4 linked regions of the Notamacropus eugenii genome follow. The protein of the gene in region 4 interacts with the protein of the main gene of each other region in a pairwise test. Links are inferred from orthologs where the notes say so. Each region holds a gene or a part of one and is shown on either strand. Other genes may lie near its edges.

Evidence for each region.
Region 1: the proteins of SGTA (region 4) and TFRC interact in binary tests that used the Homo sapiens proteins (3 or more experiments, as listed by UniProt). The two-hybrid records come from large-scale screens. The link is inferred for Notamacropus eugenii from reciprocal best matches to the Homo sapiens genes SGTA and TFRC.
Region 2: the proteins of SGTA (region 4) and CD99L2 interact in binary tests that used the Homo sapiens proteins (3 or more experiments, as listed by UniProt). The two-hybrid records come from large-scale screens. The link is inferred for Notamacropus eugenii from reciprocal best matches to the Homo sapiens genes SGTA and CD99L2.
Region 3: the proteins of SGTA (region 4) and FERD3L interact in binary tests that used the Homo sapiens proteins (3 or more experiments, as listed by UniProt). The two-hybrid records come from large-scale screens. The link is inferred for Notamacropus eugenii from reciprocal best matches to the Homo sapiens genes SGTA and FERD3L.

Annotation. Positions count from the first base shown.
Region 1 is NC_092876.1:336,315,871-336,323,261, reverse strand, and holds the start of TFRC (transferrin receptor protein 1), read right to left. Parts: upstream 3,016-7,391; 5' UTR 2,915-3,015; coding exon 2,912-2,914; intron 1-2,911. UniProt on the Homo sapiens protein: Cellular uptake of iron occurs via receptor-mediated endocytosis of ligand-occupied transferrin receptor into specialized endosomes. Endosomal acidification leads to iron release.
Region 2 is NC_092879.1:70,371,434-70,378,995, reverse strand, and holds the start of CD99L2 (CD99 antigen-like protein 2), read left to right. Parts: upstream 1-4,559; 5' UTR 4,560-4,821; coding exon 4,822-4,891; intron 4,892-7,562. UniProt on the Homo sapiens protein: Plays a role in a late step of leukocyte extravasation helping cells to overcome the endothelial basement membrane. Acts at the same site as, but independently of, PECAM1.
Region 3 is NC_092874.1:11,736,839-11,742,614, reverse strand, and holds FERD3L (fer3-like protein), read left to right. Parts: upstream 1-4,741; coding exon 4,742-5,275; downstream 5,276-5,776. UniProt on the Homo sapiens protein: Transcription factor that binds to the E-box and functions as inhibitor of transcription. DNA binding requires dimerization with an E protein. Inhibits transcription activation by ASCL1/MASH1 by sequestering E proteins.
Region 4 is NC_092875.1:62,997,559-63,005,055, forward strand, and holds the start of SGTA (small glutamine-rich tetratricopeptide repeat-containing protein alpha), read left to right. Parts: upstream 1-4,489; 5' UTR 4,490-4,574; intron 4,575-4,944; exon of another isoform or gene 4,945-5,065; intron 5,066-5,375; exon of another isoform or gene 5,376-5,450; intron 5,451-7,497. Other genes in the region: THOP1 (thimet oligopeptidase), read right to left, coding at 2,020-2,047. UniProt on the Homo sapiens protein: Co-chaperone that binds misfolded and hydrophobic patches-containing client proteins in the cytosol. Mediates their targeting to the endoplasmic reticulum but also regulates their sorting to the proteasome when targeting fails.

The sequences.
Region 1 (7,391 bases), on a different chromosome or scaffold from region 4:
TATCTCACTTGGCTATAAAGTGAATTACAGACAGTGTCCACAATGCCTAAGAGCCTATAGACTAAAAAGGGAATCAAGGTCATTTTCCAAAGAACCTAAGGCGGGAAATGGAAAAACCAGAGTTCAAGCAAGAAATGTAATTCCTAGAAGTATATTCTCTTACTATTCTGGGAAGTGACTTATCATAGCCCCTACACTAGACCAAATCTCCAGTGCCAGAACTACCAAAAGTCACCACACCTTTAATTACGTAGCCATTTGCTTCAGAGAAAGTTGCTCTGCAGCACAGAAGTTAACACTTTTAACTGATAAACCTAGTCAAATGTCACACAGTAAAAGACTCTGAAAAGAATCATATGGTTTATGCCACCATCACAGAAACTCAAAAATGGAACAGTAGCTCAAAAATCACCTCATCTACCACAGAAATCCAAATCAGTGTGTGAAGATCTTTAGTGAGAGCAACTTTCCACTTCCCAAGACAGCTAATTCAGGTCATTTCTATTAGGAAACTGACTGAAATCACCACATTATTCCTACAGTTCTGTTCTCTAGGGACAAAAAAACAAAGTACTTGGTTCAGGATTAGTAACTCACATTTATATAGTTCTTAAATCTGAGCCATCTTGTATCCCACAGCATTCCTTTTCATAATTATCATATTCTCACATACTCTACCCTCCCCCCCATTCCTTTTACTTCTCCAGGCTATACATTCCTAGTTCCTTATGACATGGTCTTTATTCTTCCTACCATCTTGGTTATCCTCCTCTTCTGGAATCACTCTAGACCTTCCTAAAATTAAACACCCAGAAATAAATATAATATTCCAGATTTGGTTTGATCAGGACAAAATACAGGACTTCCAAATATTAAATTTCTTACTGCAGATTCAAAGTCCTAGCAATTTTTTTTCTTTTGCCAGTCACAATGTATTACTAAAGTTTTTCAACTGTCTGCAGATCTTTTGGTCATCCAACATAACAGGCTGTTTGAAAACTTTGATAAGCATATCTTAAAGGCTATGCCTCTACTAAAGTAATTATTAAAAGTTCCTAATTTTAAAAATTCAGTAACTTGGAGTCTAGGACAGTAAGGAGCATTTGGCATAGCCTTCTTCCAAATTAGTATTAGCCATCAAACCTTTTAAGTCCAGTCATTCAACTGACCCAAATCCACTCCACTGTACTACAGTCTAGCTTCCATCTTGTCCACAAGGGCAATATGAGAAACTCTGCCAAATGCTTTCATAAAAGGGAAGGTCAGCCAAGTCTACTACTTGTATTACCACTGGAAGGTCACAACCTAGCAAACCAGACTAAGAAACCAGCTTGGAAATATGTTGGAGATCTTGGGTGGGGCTCCTATACCTAGTATCAACTAGTTTCTATTATTTATAATTTGGGTGTCATTATTAAAAATGATGAAAAAAGACTACCATATAACAACACTCCATTCCAGACTACCGATTAACAAGCAATATAATGTAATGATTCCCTAATCAGGCATTGTGTTACATGCTGAGCAGATACAAACAAAAAATGAAACAACCCTTGTTTTGCATATATATATTTGCATCTAGTAGCAAATAACTCCTACTTGGGGTAAACAATTTATGTAAAAATGAACTTTCCCAAACCCAGTCGTTGACTCTGGCTTTGCTCCTATGGAGCAAGAACTACCTATCCAAGACTAGTTTTGCCAGGGTAATGAAAAGTCTTATTGTCACATGCTCCATATTCCAAGGTAAGAAGCACCACTGTTTCTATTACACAGGTACCTGGGGGGAGGGAGGAAGAGAAGTTCTGTGGCATACTACTACAGAAAACACCATTCTTAATTTGGAAGAAGCAATATGAGGAAAATTGGATGTCAGCTTTATTTCATGGTCAATGAGGTCAAATTTCTGAGCTTACAAGAGATCACTGAATTTGCAACTTGTATTCCAGACCTATCTGCAAAGCCAGAATGAAAGGTATCAGGTGTGTGAGGACTCGGGACAGCACAGCTTTCTCTTCCAACTTTCCCTGAGGCCATAGGTAGAAGCAACTATGCTGGGTCAAAGCAAAGCTTTTTTTTTTTTTTAAGTTCTCTTCACCTCTATAAAAAAACTTATAAGGTACAAGGTACAGATTTTCAGCCATTAGTGCATGTTTACTTTGCAAGCTGACTGAAATTGCAATATCAGGATCGTAAATTCTGATATATCATAAGGAAAAGAAATGTTGTACTTGAGATGTCCTTTAGATTCATATAATCCAAACTACTCAAAAAAACTTAAAATTTCAGTAGTAAATAAAAGGGTTGCCATTTTACAAGTGGCTAACAGCAAATTTGGGTGAACCGGCTAAATCCTGAATAGGAGAAATACAAGTTGTGTGTAGTGGTGGAAAAAGCACCTCCCCCCACCTATACTCCAAGGTACCGGCTAAGATCTCCCCCAAAACCTGTACCTAGGCCCATCATTCTCCATACGATATTAACAGAACGATCCTTGAAGTATATTAAACATTATAAATTAATATATTAATGCTAAAAATAAACACTTTTCCCCAACCAGACATGAAAGATGAATTCTAATCCAAGTAAGACTCCAGAGGTCTCCCCAAGAAATTGCTCATGACCCTTTTATCACTTCATCTCATAACCTGGGCCCTCACCCATCGATCCCCCCAGTTCCCTTCACAACCTGGGCCCCATCTCAGGGAATGGACGAGTAGATTAAATTAATTATTTAGCTTTAATTCTATAATTTAATTCTATAATTTAAGTAAATTAAACTCTACTATCAAACTAACTTGTTGGTTGCTCTTTTTTAAAGAGACTTCCAATATTCAGCCTGATGCCAAGGGTCCTAAACTATGAAACAATCTGAGATACCGGACCAAAAAGTCAAGTTAAAGAACAGCACCATGCGCGGGCTAGATGTCTCGGTCCCTGTACGCAGACACAAGGCGGCCCAAGCCGCAGTCCCCCAGGCTGGACTACACGCGGCCGCCCCGCCGCCCCCCAGGGGGAATGGGGGCCCCCCAACCCCGGGAAGTGCAAGGTTCCGGGCTCAAGGTCACTTCGCAGAACCTGACACTCGTTCCCCGAGGCCACTTCCTGAAGCGGGCCACGTGCTCCAGCAGGCGCGGGCACAGCGGGGGGCCTCCCTCCTCCCGCGCCCAGGACCACCGAGCCTCAGGCGCTTTCCAGCGCCCGGCTTCGGGTTTCGGGCGGTGAAGACGCGGGGCCCGGGCGTGGGGGAAGCAGGCAGGGAGCGCACGGGTCCGAGGGGGGCGTGCAGCGGAGGCTGATCGCCGGGGCTGCGGGGGAGCCGGCACCCGGGGGCGCACAGGAGGGGAGGGGGCGCTCTCCCAACTATCGAGGATCGCGCGGGCGCTTTGGGGGCGCCCCCATGCACCTGCAGTGCGCTCCGCCAGGCGCGCGCTCCAGCCCCTCCCAGGGCGGGAAGATGGGCGCACGGGGTGGGGAGCGGGGCTGGGGGAAAGTCCGGTCCCGTTCTCCTATCCCGTTCTCCGATCTCTGCGGGAAAGCCCCGCGCGGCATCCCCGGACCAGACCCGGGAAAAACGCCGGGAGGGAGGAGGACGGGACGCCGGCTTCGCTCATCCCCGCAGAACGGAGAGCCGGAGGGGAGGCCCTGCCATGGGGAGGCCCTGGGGGGGGCCCTGCGATAGGGAGGCCCTGGGAGGGGGAGCCCTGCCATGGGGAGCCCTTTGTTTCGCGTCACTCACTTCGGGTCGTCCTCCGCCGCCGCCGCTCTAATAAACGGTACCCAGCACTCCGCCGGAGCCCACGGAACCTGGAGCCTCGGGGCCGCGAGCGCCCCCCGTCCTTATAGGCTAGCCCGGTATTGCGTCACTTCCTCGCTCACGTAGGCACCTCTAGCTCTCCAAAAACCTCCCCCTCCCCCCGCCCCCTCCAGCCCGGTGGGAGGCAAAAGCCGGGACCTGGGAGGTGCGCGCGCCGGCGCGAGCAAGACGCGGGGAGGGCGCGCGGGGCCTGGAGGAGGGCCGCGGGGGTGGGGGAGCCGGGGGGATGGGCCGGCGCCGCTCTTCCGTCTTCTGCCGGCGCCCCCCTGCTGAACGTCACACTCCTCCCGCCGGGCCACCACGTGCCCGTGCGCAGCCGTCAAGCGGAGCGGGAGCTGGGCCGCGGCGCCACTCGGGCTCCCACGTGCAGCGAGCCGGGTCCTGCGGTGTAGACGGCTTAGAGCGGACGCCCCGCACCTGAGGGGCCTCGGGCGCTCCGGGCAAAGTCACACCGTGCCAGGAGCGCCGAGCTTTTCCCCAAAGTTGGATTGTGCTTGGCACCCAGTAGGTACCTAATAAACTCCTTTTTTTTTTTGCTAAATTCTATATAAGTCATGTTCTTCGAAGCATTCCTTTTCCGTATTTTATTTAATTACATATTTCCCAATTGCATTTTTAAAAACTTTAACACTCATTTTTCAAAAATTTTGAGTTCCAAATGCCCTCCCTCTCCGCCCCTTGAGGAGGCATACCCTTGAGCTATGATGCTGGTGATACGTTACCCCAAACGGTTCTTGTTCTCCTCCTTTCCTTCAGAGTCTCCAAGGCTGTGGGGTGTAATGACACCTCTCATGTCCACAGAGGTTGTCTGACTGTGTGTCGTGACTCTCCCAGCGGGTTTTCCTGCGTGGATAGTGAAGTCAAACTCCTTTGGATGATTCCAGGCCTCCCCCAAGTCTGCAGTGTTCTGGGGTTTCCTGTAACCCGCTCAGTACCCTATGCGAGCAGGAAGACTTAAGGAAATTCAGAGTCTGTGGGAAAATTCTCTTTGAGTTGGACTCTGAGCTGAATCTCTTCCATGACCCTGATGAACACCTGTGACAGGCATTTTTCTCCATGTATGATACCTGGACCAGTAGATAAAGGACTCAGGAAGACCTGAGTATGAATCAGTGTCAGACACGTACTAGGTGTGTGACCCTGGGCAAGTCACTGAACTTCTGTTTGCCTTAGTGCACTGAAGAAGGAAATGGCCAACCACTCCAGTATCTTTGCCAAGAAAACCCCATCGTTAGTATTGGTGTGCTATGCGTAGGATCATCAAGAGTCAGACACAACTAAACAACAATATTACTAATCAAAAGGTCCTTGAACAAGGTAACCTACACCCAAGAAATCTGTCCTGGGCCATCTCTGTTCTTTCTGTTGTGTCTCATCATTTTCTGAACCATCATCTCTATGCAGGTCACTCTCCAATCTAGCCCTCACCTCTTTCCTAAATTCTAGTCTTTCATTTCCCACCACCTGTTGGGCATCTCCACCTGGATGTCCTAAACACATCTCAAACTTAAAATACTGAAAATAGAACTTGTTGCCTCTCTCCTGAAATCTAACCGTCCTCATGACGGTTTTGTTTCCATGGAGGATACCACCATTTTTTCTAGTAGCCGAGGTTTGCAATAACTACAATGCAGTCATCCGCATCTCCCTACTCTCTCTCCCTTCTAACCAGTTACCCAGTCTTGTTTACTCCATCTCCTCTTGCATATCTTCTTTTCTATTAACAACCACCCCAGACCAAGTCTTTATCACTTCTTACTCCTAACTGCTCTCCCTGAATTCAGTCCCTCTCCTTTGATGAGTTCTCTGAACTTTCAAGTCAGTGTTTTGTTTCTTAAAGACTTAACTTCCTCTTAAATTTCATCTCATTAGATATAGCCCAATGATCAATCTTGTCAAGATCTTTTTTTACTCTTCCCATCCTCAAACTGCAAGTTTGATAAGTATGCTATTTGTGTCTTTAACCAAGTCATTACTAAACATTAAACAGCACAGCACCAAGCACAGATTTCTGGAATATACTGCAGAGACTTTCTTCTAAGTTGATTGAATGAATAAAGGAATGAATGAAAATTTATTAAGCATTTACTGTGTACCAATTCTACTGAAATGTAGTATTGTCTAGTCCAGGGGTAGGGAACCTGCGGCTACATTAGCATTCTAGGTCGTTGGGTGCGGCCTTTTGACAGGGTCCAAGTTTTACAGAGGAAATCCTTTGATTAAGGGGATTAATCTGTAATGTTTGGATTCAGTCAGAGAGCCACCCTTGAGAACCTAGAGACCTTTGGCCTCGAGACCTCAGGTTCCCCACCCCTGATCTGGTCCATATCTCTCTATTCTGCCTACAAAAACTACACGAGAGATTTTTTGAGGTGCTTTGCTAAAAATGAGAAAACTATTTATAGTATTCCTCTAAGCTGGAACTACACTTGATTGGAAATTTCACAGCAAGGCATGAGCTTTAAGATGTGATACAATTCTAAAGCAGGAGATCACTTCCAGTTTTAGTTTCTCACATATGGGCAGGGAGAAGAAAATCATAGAATTTCAAGGTAGAAATTCAGTCACCTAGTCCAACCTATACTTGAAAAGGAATCCTCCATACACCATAGCAGACAAGTGGTCATTCAGGCTTTGTCTGAAGACCTCCAGTGAAGGAAACCTAGTAACTACCATTAAGTCTGACCTCCTTATTTTGCAAATATAGAAACTAAGCCCCAGAGAATTTATATGGCTTTCCCAAAGTCACATGGCAAGGCAGTGGCCAAGCTGAGTTGAGACAAGATAGAAAGCAAGTACCAATTATCAGTTTAATTTTTTTTAATTAGTTAAGTGTTTGCTTTTAAACCTGAGAATGAATGGGGTGATAAGTATTCTTTGTTTAATACTGCAAAAGAACTGGGAGATAGCAACATAGAACTGAGTCTGTGCTTAGAAAGTTTGGAATTTGCCTCATATTTCTTATGTCTTTTTCCTTTATCTAAATGTTTAACTGAAGAAATGAAAAAAATTCCAAATAACAGAATTATAAATTTTCAACAAGCAGGGGAGTTGCTTAGCTATTTTCACAGTTGATAAAGAGAAGGCAGGAAATTTACAACAATTTAAATATTTTGTGTATACACACATACATATATATTATATATACATATACGTACATACAAAATAGCATATGCCAAGTGTCTGATGAGTTAAACAAAGAATAAAGGAATTCAGAGGAAGAAGCAGTCACTGAGGCTGCAACATTCAAAGATTTCATGAGCCCTAAGTGCTAAACAAAGGTTCAGTTTTATTTTTTTCATTTCCTACTCTAAATAGTGTAGCCCTTTAAATATTATTTAGATATTTTAGTTAGTGGCTTCTTATGCTTAGCTATTTTGATAATTATATCTTGATTTTAAAAAGCATATCATTTGAGTAGACCAAACATGTTTTGACTTATCAAATCAATGAAACCCTGACTTCTTGAATGAAGTGACCATGAGTCAATCAACAAGTGTTCATTTAGCACTGACTGTGTCCCTGGTACCATGCTAGGCACTGGGAACCCAAGTACTATACAAAGAGTGAACCA
Region 2 (7,562 bases), on a different chromosome or scaffold from region 4:
TATTAATTCCTCTTATAGACTCCTCAAACAGGAAAAAAAAAAAGACAAGTCAGCAAACACTTATATAATAATAGCTCAGATTTCTGTAGTGCCTTAAGATTTACAAAGGCCTTAAGGCTGACACCACTTGCAAGTAATACTGCTTCCATTTCACAGAGAAGGCAGCTGAAGCTCAAGGAAGTTGAGACACAGTTAGTAATTGACAAAAACCAAGTTCAACAAGTAGTAAAGCCAGAATTCAAACCCAGGTCTGCTGATTTGTTATTTCAGTGTTCTGTCAACTGTAGACCATATTGCCTCTCTCTTTTTCAGGAGACCAACCAACCCTTTCAGGCCTGGGTTCTACAAGCCATAACAATAAGGGCTTCTAATGAATTTAGCAAATTGTTCAGTGTATGGAAAACTGAGAGATGGGTCAGGTTTTGAATTAAATATTCTGAGGATAGAAAATTGTGGGGATGAACTTTATGATTTTTGTCCTGTCTGATTTCTGTCACGGAAGGGATGGGGAGGGAAGGGGTGGCCATATGAAGGACCCACATTAGAGCAGCAGTACCACCTGCTGGATACAGTACTGGCCTTGAATTCACACAAACCAGAGTTCAAATTCTGGATCTAAAACATATTGGCTTTGTTACTCCAGACACATCACTTAACCTCTCAATGACCTAGCCAATTCTCGAGACTAGAAGTTACAGAAAAATTGCTGCTTTGCACGGTGAAGGGTACTGGTGGGTTTTCTCTTTAAGTTTTATTGGTGTCTTTTGTTTCAATACCACAGTCTTATATTTCTTCCTACCCCCGCACCAAGCTATTGTGTCAAAGAAAAACATTTAAGCCAAATTGACAATGACCTTCTGTGACAGTGCATGCTGCCTTCCTCACTGCTGGTCTTCCTTCTCCATCTCCTTTCCTCCCACCACCTCGAAGGAAAGAATAGAGGTTTGCTCATTGTGATGGGAGTTCCCACACTGGCAGTTTCCCTATAGTGATTACAGCATCATTGATTTGGGGTTGGAAGGAACCTCAGAGGCTACCCAGTCCAATCCCTTCGTTTTGCAGATGAGGAACCAAGGCCCTGGATTCAGGAGCCAGAAATGTTAGGCCCTGTTCTTTCAGGGGTCAGGTGCCACTGCTTGAAAAAGGCTGCAGAGGAAATTGAGCTGAGACAGACGTATTCCTTGCCAAGTTCCTATGCAGATTTCCCAGGAACTCAGCCGAGCCTATGAAAGAGCTTGAGAGAGCAGCCTATCCCATTGGGAAACCATCAAGGCAAAAAAAAAAAAAAAAAATTGCCCTAGCTGGGTGACACGCAGTCCTTCAGAGGGAGACTAGGTGTTCTGAATTTAAATTTTTGAGCCAATGGAATCATTTTCATGATAATGAGGCCTTGAAAAAGAGAAAAGTCCTGACTCCATTTTATGCAGCAAGCATTTTTTATGTATCTGCTATCTGCCAGGTCCTTTGCTGGGTCTACAAAGTCAAAAATGAAATAATTCCTGCCCTCAAGGAACTTATATCATACTAGGAGGGGGTGAATGATATGCATATAGATAACTAAATACAAAATATGCGTAAAATAAATACAAAGTCATTTGGGCTGGCAGACGCCTCTAAAAATGGGGATGGGGGTGGGGAATGATTTGGAAAGGAGGCATTTGAGTTCAGCTTTGAAGGGATTTAGGGATTTCAAGAGGCACAGGTGAGAAGGGATGGTACTCCAAGCATGAACAAAGACGTGAAGGTGGGAAAACGAATGTAGTATATGGAGAACAGCATGAAAACTAATTTGGCTGGAATGGAGAACAAGAAAGGGGAACAATGTGAAACACAGGTAGGTGGTGCTGTGGATAGAGCACCTGCCCTAGAGTCTGGAGGATCTGAGTTCAAATCCAACCTTAGACATTTGACCTTAATTATGTGACCCTGGGCAAGTCACTTACTCCCAACTGTCTCACCTGAAAAGAAAATTATTCTGGAAAGATAGATCAGAGCCAGATTGTAATGGGCTTGAAATGTGAAATAGAAAAGTAGTTTGTATTTTACCTTGAAGGCAACTAAGAATACTAAGTTTTTTGAGCAGGGTAATGACATAATTAGATGTGACTTAAGAATATACAATACCTGGGGATTTAAATCTCCAATTATAGCTATATTTTTACCTATTTTTTCTTATAGTTTAGAAAAATATTGTCTTCTAGTGTATACATGCACACGCACATAGTTGCTATGTTGTCTGGCACATATGACTACAGAAATATTTGTTTCCAATCAACTAAAACTTTAAAAAAAATCCATCTTTTTCTTCCTCTTGCTCCATCATCTTGCTGTTGAATGCTACGCTGTCAAAGGTAGAAGAGAACTTAGAGACCATGTAGTGTAATCCTCATTTTGTAGATGAGAAAACTGAGGCACAGAGAGAGGAAGTGACTAGCTGGTCACAAAGGCAAAACTTGAACGTTCCAGGCCAGTGTACTTCCTATCTTCCCATCCCTCCTCCCACCCCAATCTCCTTTGTGATTTTATCTTTTTTAGAGAAGGGATCCACAGGGACTGAAACTATGAGGGAGAGGGAAATGCCAAAGAGAAAACCAAAGTTATGAACCTGGTATGGTGGATCAGTGGTGTTGCTATGTACAGAAACAATGAAATCAAAAGGATGAGCAAGCTTATTTTGAAACGTTTCAGGGCTAGTAGGAGAGGTTGAGATGCGTAGGCAATTAGAGAGGGGGTGGTCTGAAATTCAGAAGTGAAGTAAGAACTGGAGATATAAATTAGGGGGTCACCTGCAGAGAGGTGGTAATTTAAGCAATTGGGAATAAATGAAATTGACAAGGGACAGAGTATAGAGAGATGAGAAGTCACAAAAGTCACCAGTGGGAAGATGGGTAGGCTGATTTACTGCTGGTGTGTTTGTGAAATGGTGCAATCATTCTAAAAATCAATTTCATGCAAGAAAAGATACTGAATTGTTCAGACCCTTTGACCCAGAGATCCCACTATTGGGACTGTATCCTAAGGTGGTTTTTGACAGCAGGAAGGGGACCCATAGGTCCAAAAAAAATGTTCATAGCAGAACTGTTTATGATAACGAAAGCAGGAAACAAAATATAAGTCTAAAGACTGAGGAATGGCTGGACAAATTGGGATATATGAATGTAAGGGCATATTGTTGTGCCCTAAGGAATGAGGAACTTAGCCAAACCTGGGGAAACTTACAAGAACTGATGGGGAGGGAAGGAACTGAGCAAAAAGAACAGTCTCCACTATGATCTCAACCATATAAACAAAGTCAAAGGGACCAGGCAACAAAACCCTGGTCTATTACACCAGTCAATGTTAGTACTATAAGGTCAAAGTTAAAGGACACAGTCCTCCTTTTTGTAAACACAGGATGCTTTAACTTAGAGGAAATGTACTTTGTGTTTGTTTACCAGCTTGAGAAGGTTCAGTTGTATCAAAACCAAAATGAATCCATACATTTTAACAAAAAGAAGGGAGAGACAAGGCCTGAGCCTAATGGAGCATTGATTGACATGTATAGTTGATTAGTAAGATGAGAGAACCAGTCAACTGAGAAAGAATGAGCAATGAGAGAGGTGCACATAAGTCTAGAAGAACTTGGCTGTCATTGAAAATGAGGAAGGAAGGGCCTACTTAGCAGGAGACTGTGGTTGAAAGTGTCAAAAGAGGGATCAAGGGGGATAAGGTATGAAAAAAGGGCCATCAGGTTGGGTTAAGTGGTCGTTTGAAGGAGCAGTTTCAGGAAGGTGATGGGGTCGCCAAGGGGTGGCAGCGAGAGTAGCTTGTGAGGAAGATATTGGGCATAGATGGCCTTTTGGAGAAGCATAGCAGTAAGGGGAAGATAGAGATGAGATGGTGGTGGGATGGGCTAGAAGGGTCCAGAGGTTTGGATTGGAGAGATTTGGGAATATTTGTAGGTAGATGGGAAGAAGCCTCTCTGGCCCTCCGCTTTCTCATCTGTAAAACAAAGGGGCTGGAACAGATGACAACTAGGAGTCTGCCAGAGTGAAAGTTGCAGAGAGGCAGATTTATGTTTAATTGCAGGGAAAACTTTCTAGCAATGAAAGCTGTCCCCAAGCTTAATGGGCTGTCGCTTGGGGAGGCAGAGGGTGACACCAGAATTGGGGCGCTGGCAAACACTTCTTGGGCTGCCTTCAGGGTACCCTGTTACTGGTCTGCTCTCTTCCCCTCCTCCACCCCACTCTGGGCTCCCAGGGGGCTGGGGCGTGGTTGGAAGGCGCCCCAGGGTGAAACAGACAAAGGCTGCCCCGCCCCTTCCCTCCCTTCTCCCTGCCCCCAGCCCCACCCGCGGGCTCTCTGCCGCAGTAAAGTCACACTGCTGAATCAGGCCCTGGCCACTGCCTTCTCCTCCAATCACGGCCGGCCCGGCCCCGGCCCCAGCTCCAGCCCACCCGTTGCGGCTCCTGCCCAGCCTCTGAGGAGCCTTCTCTTTGCAGTATTTCTCTCATCCCCGCCCATCTCCAATCAGTGCCGTCCTCACCCCTCCCCTCTCCTGTCCCGCTCCGCCTCGCGCCAGCCACCCACTCTCTAGGCCCGCCCCGCGCCTGCCGCGCTCCGGCCGCGCGCTGCGTGTGCGTCTGCCCTGTGCGTGCGCGTGCGCGTGGGCGCGCAGAGGGCTGGCTCTGCTCTTCGGGAATCTCGTCTGCTCCGGCCGCCTGCGCCTCCCCCTCCTCTCTGGGAGTCGGCTCTCTCCTCTCTCCCGTGTCCTAGCGCGCCTCCTGGTCCTCTCGGGCCCCCCCCCTCCTCCATCTGCCCCTCGCCACTTGCTCTCCAGCCATGTTCTGCGGGGCTTCAGCGCGCTTCCTAGTCCTAGCTTTCACCTCGGCCTTCCTGCTGAACGGAGGAGGTAAGGCTGGCCTGCGGCCTTCTGGGGTGGGGGGGAAGGGGGACCTAGAGAAAGAGGTGTCCCCTTCCCCCAGCCGCCGGGCCTGCGTGACGTCGGCTTGGCAGGTGCTAGCCGGGCTTGGCCCGAGGGGGGAGGGGCGGGTTCGGGCCGCTGCCTTGGGCTCAGCTCAGCTTCCCCTCCAGATCGTGGGCACTTCTGGCAGCCCGACCCGAGACCCTACCAGAGGGCGAGACTCAATTCGGACTTGGTTAGCCAGCAAGGAGGGAGGGAACGAGTTAGCTAGCCTGGCAAGTTGTCGGGCAGCCACCTTTGGGGCATCGCACCTGGGGGTTTTCGAGGGAGGGGTCGGGAGGAGGATCTGCCTTAGCCCAACTCTTGTACTTTGGCCTAAGTGAACGAGTGAGTGGGTGGGATGCCTGTGACTTTTATTTGTCTCCTCAAAGTTTGCCATGCTTTGCCACACTGCCCTGCTAACAGGGGTTTTGGGGGTAGCCACGTTGGAAACCCTTGCTTTGAGCATCCAGGTGTTTTCCCAGCTGCAGAGGAATGGCCTGCGCACTGTATGCGAAAGTCAATGCTTTTGCTGCTGAGCAGCTCGGGACACCTGTTTCAGCAGATTTGTGTCATTGTTTAGCCGATGGGAGGAGAATGCACCAGACTGAACTGTGCTCTTTTTCTGGAGCTAAAGCATTGTCCTTTCTGTTTATGGTGCCACACATGTGGAAGTTCAGTCGTTGCGCTCATAATGGCAGCAGGATGAAAGCTGTTTGAAGAATGGAGGAATCCCGGGGAACCCAACGGCTTTTTTTCCTGCCAAATCGACCCTTTCACGTTTTAAATGCATACAGCCTATTGAAGAAGGGGCTGAGGACTGTAATTACCAAATTCCAGACTGGTTTTCATAACCATAGGGCTTAAACCATTAGGGTTGGGAGCTAGAGAAGCGGGCACAGGGCGTTTTAAACTAGAAGTTCATAGGTTTAGAGATGCAAATGACCATTTAGTTCAGTCGTCTCATTTTAAGGAGGCCCAGAGAAGTGAAGTCATTTACACAAGGTCACATTGGTAATAAGTGGCATAGTAGAGGATTCAGATTTGGGTTCCCTGACTCCATATTAAGGCTTGTTGTGCCTTTGCAGGAAAAATAGGACTGATCATTTTTGCCTTTTTACTCAATTGGAAAGCATTTTTCCTGATTGGAGACCATACTACTAAAGTAGTCTGCCAAAGTGGCCTTAGGTAGAGAAAAGATTGACTCGTATGTATGTACAGATAGGCAGAGACTATTCAGTTTTGGGCTTTCTTGTCAGACTTTGCCAAGTTCCTCTGGGCCCAGTGAGGTCACAGATATTAGAAGCTAAAGAATTCCTATTGGTTGTTTTTGAACTTGAACTCTCTAAACTGCTCTATTGAAATAAAAATGCAGCTTAATAAATGCTTGCTGGATCAAATGATCTTAAAGGTTTTGTCCAGCTGTAAGGATCTTTGATCAGATTTGTGAACTTTATTTGTAATTGACTTGGCAAAGACCTCAGTTTACCACAAAAATTATCCAGAAGCCTGTGTTGTTGTGCCTCAGAGTAATTTCATGTTTAGGCCTAATTTTCAGAAGTTGAGATGAGAATTCCAATAGGACTCAATTCTCAAGTGATTACTGAAGCCAGTCACAAAGAGAATAACCATACGATTTAAAATCCTGTCAGGGCCTCAGCATGTGGAAACTCGGTTTCAGGTTCTTCAGACTTCAAAGCGAAGGAGAAACCATTCCTTTTTTGGACTATAATTATGGATGGTAATTATCAATTCATTGTGTTATTAGTTTTGGAAGTCCTTTGAGGACAAATTACCAAGCTCTAGTGGAGGCCTTGAGCGCATTTAGGGTTAGGATTTACCAGGGACAGGTTCTGGTTAGGGATTTTGGGAGCTGAAGTTCAGATGTAGGATGTATCCCTGCTTACTTTATTTATTGCATATTTTGAAAGAATGAAGTGTTTCTCATGAAGGAGATATCTAGAAATCTGTGGATTTACATACTTTTTTTAAGGACTAAAATTTTAACTCCTTTGGGTAGACATTTCTAAAATATATGATATACTCTGCTTTCTTAAATAGAGTGTACATATTTCAATACTTTAAAAGATACAGGATTTTATTAATGCATGTTATACCCCTTTCATGCTTTAGTCTTTTATACGAAACTAGCTCTACATTTCATACTGCTTGCTTTTTAAAAAAGTGTGTAATCATTTGAAATATTGCTTTCAAAACTCCTGCTTGTTGGTGCTTCCTTCAGAACTTTCTTCTGTCCTTTTCTGTTCATTAAAAAAAAAAATCCCCATTTAAATGATTATTAAAAAAATTCCCATTGGTAATACTCCACCCCCCTCCTCCCACCAATTAAAAACTTATAGAAGAAAAAAAAAACCCTCCTAAGAATTAAGCGTAAACAAACCATGTCCCAAAATCTATGTCTCTGCACCTTGGGTCTTTCATTTTTCTGTCAGTAGGTGGGTAATGTGCTTCACCATCAGTCCTCTGGAGATATGAATTGTCGTTGATCAGAGTTCTTCAACTTTTCAAAGTTTTTATTTTAATACTACTCTGTTCTATATATGGGTTTTCCTACCTCTGTGCCTTAGTCCAGAGGTGTCAGACATTCCAGCCTGATTAA
Region 3 (5,776 bases), on a different chromosome or scaffold from region 4:
AAATAACAATTGGCAAATAACAGATCACTATATTAGATTAAATTATAATATGCAGGGCTAGAACCAAGATCAACTGTGTTCCCAGCCAGCGTTGCAGCTCTTTGACCCATGACTAAGTGGTTAATTTTGGCATCTCTTCTTCCAAAGCTATACAATGAAAAGAACACCTACTTCTATTATCACTGGACAGCATGAAATGGTAAAAACTTGAAGGATAATTTGACAGTGAGCTACAACATGGTTATGAATTTAGTAACACTGAATTCAAACTTAAGTACATATATCTATAGCTTACATTTAATTGAAAAGATAACGTTACTAGAGAGTATTTAAAAATAAGCAGGCACTAATAGTCTTTGTTTTTTCCAGTCTTTTATTTGTATCCTTTTTAAAATTTTATTTGGTCTGAACTTGTGATTTCAGCTATTTAGAGATGACCTATTGTGGTCAAAAACACTTCATTAACTCCAGCTAACAACTACTCTGTTACTTGCAGGCATAATAAATGTCATTGGACAATGAGAGCTTAAGTGATTTGTCCACAGTCACCTAGCTTATAAGTGTCAAAGACAAAACTTGGACTCAGATCTCTTTCACTCCAAAACTTTCCCTCTATGCATCATGCTATGTAATCTCTTATTTTAAAAAAGTTATTTAAATTTTTATTTTACATGTTGTTTATTAAAAGAAAAAATTGCCAGTAATTTTTGGTCTGCAATTCAGCCTTCTAAATTAAATTGCATAGTAAGATAAGTTAAAGTTATTATGGAGTAAAATATTTTTTCTATAATCTCAGAAAATAAGAAACAAGCTTTTGTAAGAAATTAGGCTGGAGGAGACTAATATTTAATTAATTTTTAATTCAGGGACAGTCACACTCTTAAGCAAACAAGTCAATTTTAATGAAAATTTTGTAGCTTTAGTTCCAAATGCATTCTGCTCCCCGCTGTGTAGAGAAGCAAAGAGTTACTGAGATGAGCTGTGACTTATCCAAGGACTCCAGACAATGAGCAGCAGAGGGAATATTAGAAATACTGTCCTGACTTTCAGTGTTCTTTCAGCTGTAATAGACTGCCTGCCATTGTAACTTGTGAACTGTCTATTTTTTATGGAACAATTTTGCACTATTTTTTATGACTGGTTAGCATTTGACTCTTATTTGTACCTATATTAGCCACAACTATAAGGGAGCGTCTATCTGTGTTTGTATGTTTGTGTGTGTGTGTGTGTGTGTGTGTGTGTGTTAATGCTGAAAGCATATCTCTATTTTTGAATCTCTTTAATCAGCATTCTCAAAGTAAATTTTGTGGTCAATGTATTATTTTTGATTGATATAACTAGCCCCAAAGGATGTGTATAGTGATGATCCATATTTATATAATATATTCAGGTTGCAAAACATTTTGCATGCATTATTTCACTAGATCTTCACCAAATCCTCTAAAATATATGCTATATTTCTATTGTTTGCTTTTATCTGATAGGGTAAGTAATGGATTTGTGATTCCATTAGACTAGATAACCCCCATTGAGAAATCTCTTCCTGTCAAGGCAAATAAGTACCAGTTTGGAAGCATAGCCTTGGGAAGTTGTCTAGCACCCCAAGAAGTTCCATAACTTGCCAAATTGAGTCAAAAGGATGATTTGACAGCAGGTATTCCTGACTCTGTGGTCATCAATTTTCTATTTTACCATACTGATGAACGAGAAGAAAAAAGAGAGGAGGAGGAGAAAAAGAAGAAGAAAAAGGATGTTGATGATAGATACTTCAAATTTTCAAAGCACCTTGCTTATACTATCTCAGCTGATCCTCACAACAACCATCTGCAGAATTTTCCATATTTGACAGATGAGGAAGCTGAGGTTGAGAGAGTTTAAGTCACTTGTCCAGAGTCAAACAGGTAGTAACTGTGTGCGACAGAATAAAAACTCAGACAAGAAACAGGATTGGAACTTGAACTGAATCAAAGCAGAGGGCTCTGTCCACTGTACCAACTAGCTGCCAATGACTCTAAGTTGCTCGTATCATTTTACAAAAGAGGATATTGAGTCTCAGAGGGATTAACTTTTTTTCCAATGTAGAATGCAAACCCAAATGTGTCTTCCCTAAGTCCAGTGTTCTTTCTGCCACTTCCAGGTGTCTCTCTACACACAAATTAAACTATTAACCCATTGATAAAAATGAATACTTTTGAATATAAAATTATTCCACAGCTGTTATTTTGAGGCACGAAGGAACCAGTGGGAATTCTGATTTCACTTAATCTAGATAGAAACTTAGAAAGACTTTGTTTCCTTTTGCAACCCATTTCTTGCTGTTCTTTATGAACTAAGGGACCATACTGTCCATGGGATCTGCTGCTTTTATTGCTAAAGATTACTGGAATACTTTGCCATTTCCTTCCCTAGTGCATTAAACCAAACAGAAATTAAGTAACTTGCCCAGGATCATACAACTAGTAAATGTCTGAGGTTGAGTTTGGACCCAGGTCTTCCTGACCCCAGACTCATTGTTCTGTCCAGTGAGTCACCTAGCTATCTTTCACAACCCATGGCAAGCCTTAAAACAGGATTCTGCTTCCTCACCTCTTGGTGATTTAACTCTTTGCCTTTATTGTTGTTGCTACTTCTCAATCTTTTCCCCAAATTCACTGAATTGATGATCAAGCATAAAGACACTTTGAATCTTTTTTTTTTGTGGGTCACTTAGGTCCTACAAGAAAAATAGGAAACAGTTTTTATTGCCATGCTATACTCCAGGATACAAGGAGAGAATGAGTAAATACGGTAAGCCAAAAGGGATCTCAGTTTGTAGACAAATGGGCTGAGAGGAAATAAAAATTTAGGACTCAAAGATCAGGCTTCAAAGGAGCTCTAGGTTGGTTGCTGACTGTCAGGCTGCCAAGACCCGGTGTGGTTATTTAAGCTTACCTGTAAGTCGGTTGCTATGAATCGTGCCGATTTGTGGGAGCTGTCCAATGTACTTCATGTACTATAGTGACAATTCACTTTGTTGCTGATGGTGCCTAAAGTGAGGCTTTCTAAGAAAATCCTCACTCTTTTCACTTTAAAAAAAAAAATTCCATCTCTCTGTTTTTTATATCTTTTACAGATATTTGCTTATTTGAAACCTCAAAATTCACATTCCTTTTTTTTACTTCACTTTTATTCTTATTCACAGGCATTTGTTAAATGTTAAACTGTTAAATATCCAAAAATAAAAAGCTTTTGAAAGGGGGAAAACAAAACGGCACCGCTGTTGCAAATACTGGCTATATTGTCCAATCTTTTTATTTCCTTAGGAGATCAAGCTTAATATCTCTCCCCTTCACTCTGAAAATAAGAAGTGGTATCCTGGGATGTAGGTCTCATAAACATTTCAGATGTTGCCTTCCCTAAATACAGTTAATTAAAAGCTTGCCTCAACCTCAAGTCCTACTGTCTGAAGAGCACCGATCGATGATGAGGAATCAATCAGCTGAGGAGTTGTGGGTGTGTTTTCTTTTTTCCCTTTGTTCATAAACTTACAATTATTGATGGGCAAATCGACCTTCTGCTCAGCGAGGGGAGAGGGAAGAGGATGTTCTAATCGACTGGCTCTTTGGTCGAAGGGCAAATAACCTTGGGGAAGGAGAATGAAGAAACCCTGGACGCTGCTCTGGAGCCATGCTCCGATTTTCCCTAGACAAGGAGGAGCGGATTTCATTTCAGTGCCAGTGCGTTAGCAGCGTCACTGAGGAACCCAAGCGCTGAGGGGGTACGACCAACTTCTGGCCTATGTTTCTTGTTTCTCCCAGATGTCTACTGCTCTCCCTAAGCCTGAAGAAGGAGGAGACGGGGGAGAGGGGGGGAGGGGAAGAAATATCTCTTCTTTCATTGCGAGGATAGCAACTAAACTTGCTTTCGGGGAGGGGGGATTGAAGGTTTCACTGCAGAAGAACGGACTGAGAGAGCTGTTTGCGGGAGGTGTCAGCCAGAGAAAGACGGCTCCAACAGCGACTCTGGGGAATGTGAGCTGAGCTCCCCCAGTATGCTTACTTAGCCGAGTGGAGGTCTTGCCATTCAGCTCTCCCAGCTCTGGGAGACAGGGTCAACATTCCCCGGTGACCTCTGACGGTCAGGTCCCCTCTTCAGGACCTCATTGAAAGCATCCAGACACTTGTCTCGCATCACTTGGCAGCCTGGGGGTGGTCACGGAAGAGCCAGGACTCTAGCTAGAGAATACTTTACCCCTTCCCTCACTTGGCAAAAGCCAGCACCCAGCTCCTAAGTCAGCAGTTCCAGAAACAGGAGCAGGAGAGACAGGTCCATCCTGAGGCTGGGGGACCAGAGTGGAAAAAGGAACATAGGAGCAACAACCAGGGGAATTCTGGGGTGCCCGACCAAAGAGGAACTATTCTGCTTGGCGCAGTGAAACAGTCCCAAATCCTGTGCTAGACTATGCATCCCTCCAGCTGGCTTCAGGCTTGTCTGCTCCCATCAGCTTTAGGAGCAGGGATATTTGCCAAGAGTCCTCGGTGCAACTAATCCTGTTGTCTGCTCTGGGATCAATCTCCATGGCCGCTTACTCCAAGGCGAGGCTGGGATTGGGTCTGGGGCAGTAGCAGGCACTCCGGGCATCCACCTTCGCATCTCCTCGGAGCCATCGATCAGGCGTCCCAGTCCGCGGTCAGTCCGCCCAGAAGCACCCTTACGGGGAGGACTCCATGAGACGGCACCGCCACAGGGTCCACTGCCCCCGATGGAGCGCCAGGACTCTTTCGTGGACACCACGGTACTGGACTTCGTGGCTGATCTCTCCCTGGTGTCCCCTAGAGGCCCTCTTCTCTATGACCTTGCCCCCGGGGGCTCTCTGGGGGAGCAGGCCCTGGCCCTCGGAGAGGGCATGGCCCGGGGATTTCAGCCCTTCGAGGAAGAGGACGAGGGGGAAGAGGAGGACGAAGAAGAAGAGGAGGAAAGGGAGGGAGATGGCGAGGGAGATGGAGGCAAGGAAGCGGAGCCCCTACAAGGTGCCTCGCTACTTCTGGGCCGCCCCAAGAGGAAGAGGGTAATAACTCTGGCCCAGCGACAGGCGGCCAACATCCGGGAGAGGAAGAGGATGCTGAACCTCAATGAAGCCTTCGACCAGCTGAGGAAGAAGGTGCCCACCTTCGCCTATGAGAAGCGACTATCCCGAATTGAAACCTTGCGCCTGGCCATCGTATATATCTCCTTCATGACGGAGCTGCTGGCCAGCTGCGAGAAACAGGAGGCGAACCAGGGAGCCCGGCCTTAGTGAGAGAGAGCTCCAGGACAGCAGAGTGCTGCTGGCTTAGAGCTGAGGGGGGACAGCTCTGAGGCTCAGAGTGGGTCCTCGCAGAACGAACATACGACTTCTGGGCCACTAATGCACTCACCTGGGAAACAGTTCTGGAAAACCTGTCCCCTACACCCTAAAGCCTAGCTTGTCCTGAAATTGTAGACTGTAGATTTAATATATGCAAATCTCTCTAACTGGTGTCGGGAGGAGAGAGTCACTTCTCCCTAACCTTGGCGCGGGGCTGCTTCAGGAGAGCGTTGGGATACTCCTTTGCACTGTCTTCTGGACAGGGAGTCTGCTGGGTGGGATGGACTTGGGGTCCGATTTCCTCCTTTCCTTCTGAAGTGTCTTTTCTCTGACTTTTGCGCAACTAAATAATAAATACTCCCACTTGCTCCTCTTGAAGCCTGACCAGTTTATGGAATGTGGCAGCTGGCAGTGGAGACGAGGGAGGGCATGGACCTTCCTAGACGGGAA
Region 4 (7,497 bases):
CATGGTCTTGTCTAGTCTGGTGGTCTGCTATAGAGTGGGCTAGTTAAGTTTGTAGTTATGCATTTATCAATCTGTTTAACTCAGCCCAGTTGCAGAAATGAATTTGTCAGGGGAGTCCTAGGGATAGGACTAATAATAACTTACATTTACAAAGTGTTTTGAGCCTTGCCAAATGATAATTTACATATGTCATTTGATTTGAACCTCATAGCAACCCAGAGAGGAAGGTAGTATTCCCATATTATAGCTGAGGAAACTGATGAGGTTCTGTATAGTCACTCAATAGCTAATGAGGAGATCCATGTTAAATCACTTGATTCTAGGGTTTGGTAGTTCCTGATTTTGCTGTTTAGTAGAGGAATGTCTGCTGACTTCTTTTAATTTGGCTTTACAAGAAGTCTGCGATTTTTTCCCCTCTCTCTTCAGAAGAAATTGATGAAATCCTAATAAAATAGCCTGCAACCCCAATATCTTAACTTCCTTATAGGCCCCACTGGACAGCAGGCCCACTGCACCTACCTAGCCACTCACACCCCCAACCCCTTTCAATATCCTAACTTTTTCTCACTGCTCACTGGAACCACAGGTGTTTCCATGGACTCATATTTCTCATGGAACATTAGGCCTGTCCATGTGATGAGATCCCAGCCATTGCCTCTAGCTAGCTACTATCCCCAGACCCATTCCTCATATTTCCCACAGAAATGGCAGGTATGCCCATGCACTCAACCACAACCACATCCATCTAGCCTCTGATAGGACCACAATACTCAGCCAATCAGAAAGCAGCACCACTAGGATGCCCAAGCGAGATGTGGACCCTCAAACAATAGAAAGGATTTTCCCTAAGTAGGCACCTGCTCAGTAATGGCAAAAACTACCCTTTAGGTGAACTTTATGACATAGCCTTATTATAATATCATTATCATACATACATACCCCCCAAAAAGTTTTGTCTGTCTGCATTTTGGGTAATTGCATACACAGTTCCACTGTAGCTGGGTCCCCTCCCCATTACCTAATCCCTTAACAAACTCCTCCTGCCTTTTTAACGTTCATAGTTTCTGCTATTTAATTGCATTTTTGCCCTATAGAAATCTATCTCTCTTTTTCTGAAGTTGCTGGTTCCTCTTGGAACTTAGCTGACTTCATGAGAGGAGTCAATCTCAATAAATGTCTATACTTGGATTACAGGTGGTCTTCATGAGGGCTGGAAAGATACAGGAACCCCAAAGCTGAAGTTCCCTGGGTGTAGGTAGTCTGGAAAATTCACAGACTCAAGCATTCTTGAGGTCAAGGTGGTAAAGGTGGTAAAGATTTATTATACTTTTCAGTGGGCAAGAGTTCTTAGGGAACCTGCGACCTTAGAGAGACACAGTTAAAGTTTATATAGGATAGTCTATAGTAAAACATGTGCTAGATATGCTAACTAGGTGATTCTGGGTGAGATTAGGGAGTGGTTAAAGAGTAGTTAGTTCTTAAAGGAACTTAAAGACACTTTTAGTGTCTACTTCGCTATTTTACCCAGAGTTCAGTAGGAAATAGCCCAAAGGGGGTGCTACATGGAGGTATGGTTTTAGGACTGAAATGCCTTTAAGTCAACTAAAAGTCGGGGCTGACTGAGAAATACCTAGGCTGTTACCATCAATGTCTTGTTAGACAAGATAAAGGAGGGGAGTATACTTATGTCTAAGTCGAGGATGTATATGATTGGTCAGTGAGGAGTAAACATTGTTTTGACCCAGTACGCAGCTGGTTCAAACGAATAAATTTTATAGGGGCAGCTGGCTGCTGTATCAGGAAGAGAGATCTAGGGCAGGCTGTCCTTGGGCTGGGGAGAAACTGCCTGAGATAGTGTTTTGAGGCTAGTGAGAAATGTGATTTTTAGAGAGAAATGGGATTTTAGAATTGGGGTCCAAGCACAGGCACCCAAGCACCCCATCAGTCTGACACTGAATTCTTTGAGATGGTTCCACCATAATACATCATGAAACTGTAATAAAATCATAGTTGGCCTACCCCTTGCTAGTCTTGGGTTGGTTTTCATTTCTTCTTCAGAAACAGGAGAATTTTTGACAAGTCCACTTATTTTAGTACTGTCTTTGATGTAGGGAAAAGGCTGTGAAGAGACCTACCTTTAGAAGTCCTAATAACCCTGTCAGCTTGGTTAGGTCCTACTACCTCCTACTACCACCTACTACTTACCTCACAACACCATTGTGAAGAAAGCATTTTGTAAATCACAAAGTGCCATACAAATGTGAGGTAATATCATTGTTTCATAATTTACTTTGTGCTAAAAGTTGATTTTTCTGAATACCACTGCATTTAAATATTGCTTTAAAACACTGAATACTTTTCATATTTCCATAGGGCAAGACCTTAGATGGCATATAGTCCAAAGTCTTCATAGTTGGGGAAACAGAGGCCTATAGAGGGATTAGAGTCCTGATTCAAATCCATGTTCTTTTTCTAAAATCAGTGCTCTATTAACTCACAATCAACAAATATTATTAGATGCCTACTAGCTCTGCGTCCCCAGTACTAGGGTTATCAAAGACAAAAAAAGACACAGCTCCTACCTTCAAGGAGTTTTACAAAGGAAAAGTTTTACAAAGGAAAAAAAATTAATTTAAGAAAGCTACTGATGAGCCTGGGGTTAAGTCCTGCCTAGAACACATATTGTGATCTTCACTAGGCAAGTTACAACTTCTCAGTGCCCTCAGCTTCCCTAACAAATTGCAGAACAGTTGGGGCTCTCCATCTGCGCAGGGAATTTCCTCACCAGGAGCTCTGTGAAATCATGGATTTGGACAAAACATTTGATAAACTAGAGAGGATCCAGAGGAGGAAGACAAGGACGGTGAGGGGGTCTGAACCGATCATGCCTTATACAGATTCAGGCTCCAAATAAGGGAAATTTCCTACTCATTAGTTTTTCTAAAATGAAAGAAGTTGCCTCAACCTAGGCAGCAGCTGGTAGCCTTACCAAAAGGTTTTCAAGAACTGATGGAAGCTGAGTGCAGATTGAAGATATTTTTGCTTTCTATTTCTTATTGTTGTTGGGGTTTTTTTTTGTGTTTTCTTTCACAGCATGACTTACATGGAAATGTGCTTTACATGACTACACATGTATAACCTATGTCAAATTGCTTGCCTTCTCAGTGAGGGGGATGAGAGAGAGGGAGATGATTGGGAACTCAAAATCTGAAAAAAGAATGCTAAAATTGTTTTTACGTGTAATTGGGAAAAATAAAATATTAAATTTTTTTAAAAAAGGTCTTCGTTGATGTTTTTTAAAGATTCTCTTGACCTAGGTGGACCCTGTGGTGCTGCCTATCAACTCAAAATTCTGTGAAATTCCTCCCAACCATCCAGTGGGGTAGGCTGCTGCTTCTCTTTATGTCCTGTCTTTCATCATTACAATTTAAGCTCTTTGAGGGTAAGTTTCCTCTTCTTTCCTTTTATCTGTGTCCCCAGCACTTAGCCCAGAGCTTTGCTCACATAGTAAGAACTTATAGAACTCTTATGTTGTTTATGAGACTGAGCAAATCACTTATCCTTTGGGACACCCAATTTTCTCATTAGTAAAATGCAAATAATATATTATCTAACTACACAACAGTTGATGGGAGGCTCAAATGGATTAATTTCATGTAATGTGCTTTGCAAATTTCAAAGCTTTACTATGTAAGTATATTAATATACAATATACAAATATACTATACATTTACATAACATATAAATACAAAAAAACTTGAAATAATACTTATCTATTACATGCATTTATACATCAAATATAGATTATATACATATATGTTATAAACGGAAATTATATGGTCTATATGAACACAAAGTATGTCTATATATCATATGATTATAAATTATACAAATGTTGGTAATTTTTAAGAGTATACATTTTGCAAAAGAGGAAAACGAGGTTCAGAGGCTGAAGACCAGAAGGTGCTAGGGAGCAGGGGCAGTTGGTCGTTTGTGTCTGTCCGTCCGTCTGTCTTTGTATCCTTCTTACAGAGAAGGCGCTTGATACGATGCTCTTTGAGTCGAACGGAATTTAGCCTGGAAGGTGAGCTGTCCAAAGTTACAAAGTTACAGTTGAAGTAAGTGGCAGGCACAGGGCGCACGCGAGCAGACGCACGTGACCGAATTCGTCACGGAATAAGAGAAAATGACATCATTCTTTGCGGGGGGGAAAAAAAAAGAGCGGGCGGGGGAGGAGGGGGAGGAGAGGATGGAGTCCTCCCACAATGCAACACTCCGGGCCTCCTTTTTCCGGCCCACAAAACGCAAAGCCTGGAACCGAGACTTCCGGTCGGTGAATAGTACTACAGCCCGGGCCTTCTCTCTGCCTGATCTAGGGCCCGTCGTCATCCGCGCCTGCGCCGCAGGTCTTTAGGCCGAGGCCCGCGAGAACCGCGAGGGGGCGGAGCCGGGCACTGCCTCCGCGCCATCGCCATGGCAGAGGGGAAGAGGTGGGACGACCGGCGAGGTGCGCAGGCGTGGGCGCAGGCGCAGCAGGCGGCGGAGCGGAGTCGGGGGCTCGGCAGCTTGTTAAGGTGAGTGGCGACTGCAGCGCTGGCGGCCGCCGAGCGGCTGAGGGCAGGGAGGCCGCGACGCCCTTCCTCCTCCGCCCCGGGTGTCGGAGCTGTGCGCCTCGGCTGCTCTGCCCCGCGCGGCCGGCTCCCCGAGGCGAGCGGGCGGCCGGCAGGAGGGAGGCCCCGGCCCAGGCTCCGGCTCCTCCGGTGGAAGGCAGTGGAGAAGCCGCGGCCTCTGCAGGAGGGCGAGGGTCCGGGCTCCGGGAGCGGAGGGGCCCGAGGATTGAGCAAGGGCTCATTTTCTCCCGTTTCCCCAGAGTCCATGAATCTCTCTCCTAGGCCCCCCGCCAACCCCCTTCTTTTACAGCGGAGGAGCCTAAGACCCGGAGAAGCTAAGGGACTTGTCCAGGGTCTCTCCCCTCTCCCCCCCCCCCACCGTCCGCATTCGAACCTGGGGCCTCGGATCCCCCAGTCCAAAGGTTTCGCCACCGCACCCAGTCCTCTCCTGTGAGGTAGGTAGGGCCAGAACTGCTCGTAGCGTTAGTGGAGGAAACTGAGGCACAGGGAGAGGAAGGGACTTGTCCAAGGTCATTATTAAATATTAGACCCCTGCCACTTAAACCTAAGTCTAAGGGCTCTTTTCCGTCTTAGGCTCTAATTCACGTTTAAAAAAAAAAAAAGCCTTTCCAGAGATTCTGGTTTTAATAGTTTGCACTGGGCTTAGCGATCGATCCCTCACACTCCTGCTGTGCTTTGAAAGCAAAGCCCCATCCAGGTGTTATCTCATTGGGTGCTCATAGCACCCCTGTGAGGTAGGAGGGCATGACAGCCCCACGGGGCACGTGAGAACACAGAGACTCAGAGACATGAAGTGGGTTACCAGGGGTCACTTAGCCGGTAAGTGGCAGAGCCAGACCCCCAAAAGCTGTGTTAGCTCCCAGTCCAGCGCCATTTCTAACACAGCTGCCGTACTGCCCCAACCAATAACAGTCTGCTGGTCATTTAGTGGAGCTGTGGGAGGGTAGGATTGATTGATGGCTGAGTAGGCAGAAATCAAGAAAGGTCTAAGTGGGATGGAAGTCTTCTTATAGTCAACAGGTTTTGCTGTCTTTTGACTGGCTGAGGGACAGGCATAGAAGAGATATTGATTTGTTTCCAAAAGAAACAAAGGAATTATTTACTCTTTTTATTTGTAAAGGTAGTCAGGGTTAAGTGACTTTGATTTGAACTCAGATCCTCCTGACTCCAGGGCTAGCGCTCTAGTCACTCTACCACCTAGCTGCTCAACTTAGCAAGCCTTCATTGGGCTCCAACTATGGCCCCATCGTAGGATCTTAGAGATCATTGGTTCTGTTCCCCTCATTTTACAGAGAGAACATTGAAGCCAAGGGAGAGTGATGGCACTTGCTGAAGGCCACACTGCTAGTAAGTTTCAGAGCCAGGATAATACGTGTCCAGTGATTATAAATCCACTACTCCTTCTACTACTATGTCATGTCGTGGAAATAAAAAGAAAAAAAAATTCCCTCTCTCAAGGTACTGACAGTTTCAGGAAGGACAAAAGTTAAATTGTAACGATAACAATGTATAATTTGAAGGGGTTATATGGGACAGCGAGGACCACCCAAGGCTTGGCTGGGTAATAATGTTCATGCTCAGTGTCCTGAACGTTTTAGAGAGTAATTGAAAGAGGAGTTCTGACCCTGCTTCAAAAGTTGTATCCCAGAGTAATAATGGATAAAGTTATATTCTCATGGAGTTGTAATAGAACTTTAAGGTTGAAGAGACTCCTAGACGTCCTGGAGTATCATAGATTTAGAACCTTTAGAGATCTAGTCCAACCCTCTCATTTTTTAAATGGTGAAATTGAGGCCACTTGGGCAATAAGCTCCTGGGCATCAGAATTTGAATTCAGGTCTTCTGACTCCAAATATAGTTCTTGACTCCATCCCAAAACCAGGTGACCCTGGTAGCTCTCCAGCCTCCTGCCTTTTTGTAGTCTGTGCATAGAGCTTGTAGGAGCTAGAACACTGGAGGTTGAGTGCTGACTTGGCCTCTTCCAGCTGTCTGAATGTGGGAAAGTAAACTCCATTTTCCTCACTAGGAAAGTGGAGGGTAATAATCCTTGAGCTAATTCCCTTTGAAGTCTTTTCCTGGGTATTAGGAGACCTGAACCTGTGGTCCAGGTTCTGCCCTCATTGTGTGACTTTGAGCCACATTTTGATTTCTTCATTTGGCTAAATTGAATCTCTAAAAACCCTTCCTTCTCTAGGATTCCAAGAACAACAGTTTATCTGATAAATTTTATCTTCACCTTAAATTTCATGTTCGTGGGTTGAAGGCTTTAAGAGAAACAAAAAGGTTCACAGGCTCTAAAGAACTTTTTGGTTAATTTAGTGCTTGTTTCTGGTAGAATTGTCTACACTAAGCTCTCCTGTTTGACTGATTGCAACTGTTTTAGATGCTTTCTGCGAACTGCTGAAGCCTTTTAAAAATTGCTAGCAAATATTTTAAAAAGCACCCACTTGGTATGTTGCAGAACATGGACTTAGTGCTGAGGAAGAGTGAAAGTTTAGATAACCATAAAAGAGTAAATAGAAATAATACCACACATACAGTGGGCATGTTACATACAAGTAACATATACTTGATGACTTTCCTTGAAAATACTCTGGCCCCCAGCCCCATTGTTTTAACTAGCAGTGCCCAGAAAGTTGCATTTTGGCTTTCACAGGGGGAGGCAAGCCTCGAGAAATGGAAAAGGGCCTTGGTCTATAAGTGAGGAGAATGTGGCTCAGATTAATTCCTCTCTTTGGGTCTCAAGTTTCCTTATCTGTAAAATAAAGGAAGTTGGACTGGATGACCTCTCTAAGGTCCCTTTCCAGCTCCATAAACTGCCTTTCTAGGAACTAACATTAATTCTTCTTGTTAAAAACAACTTCTG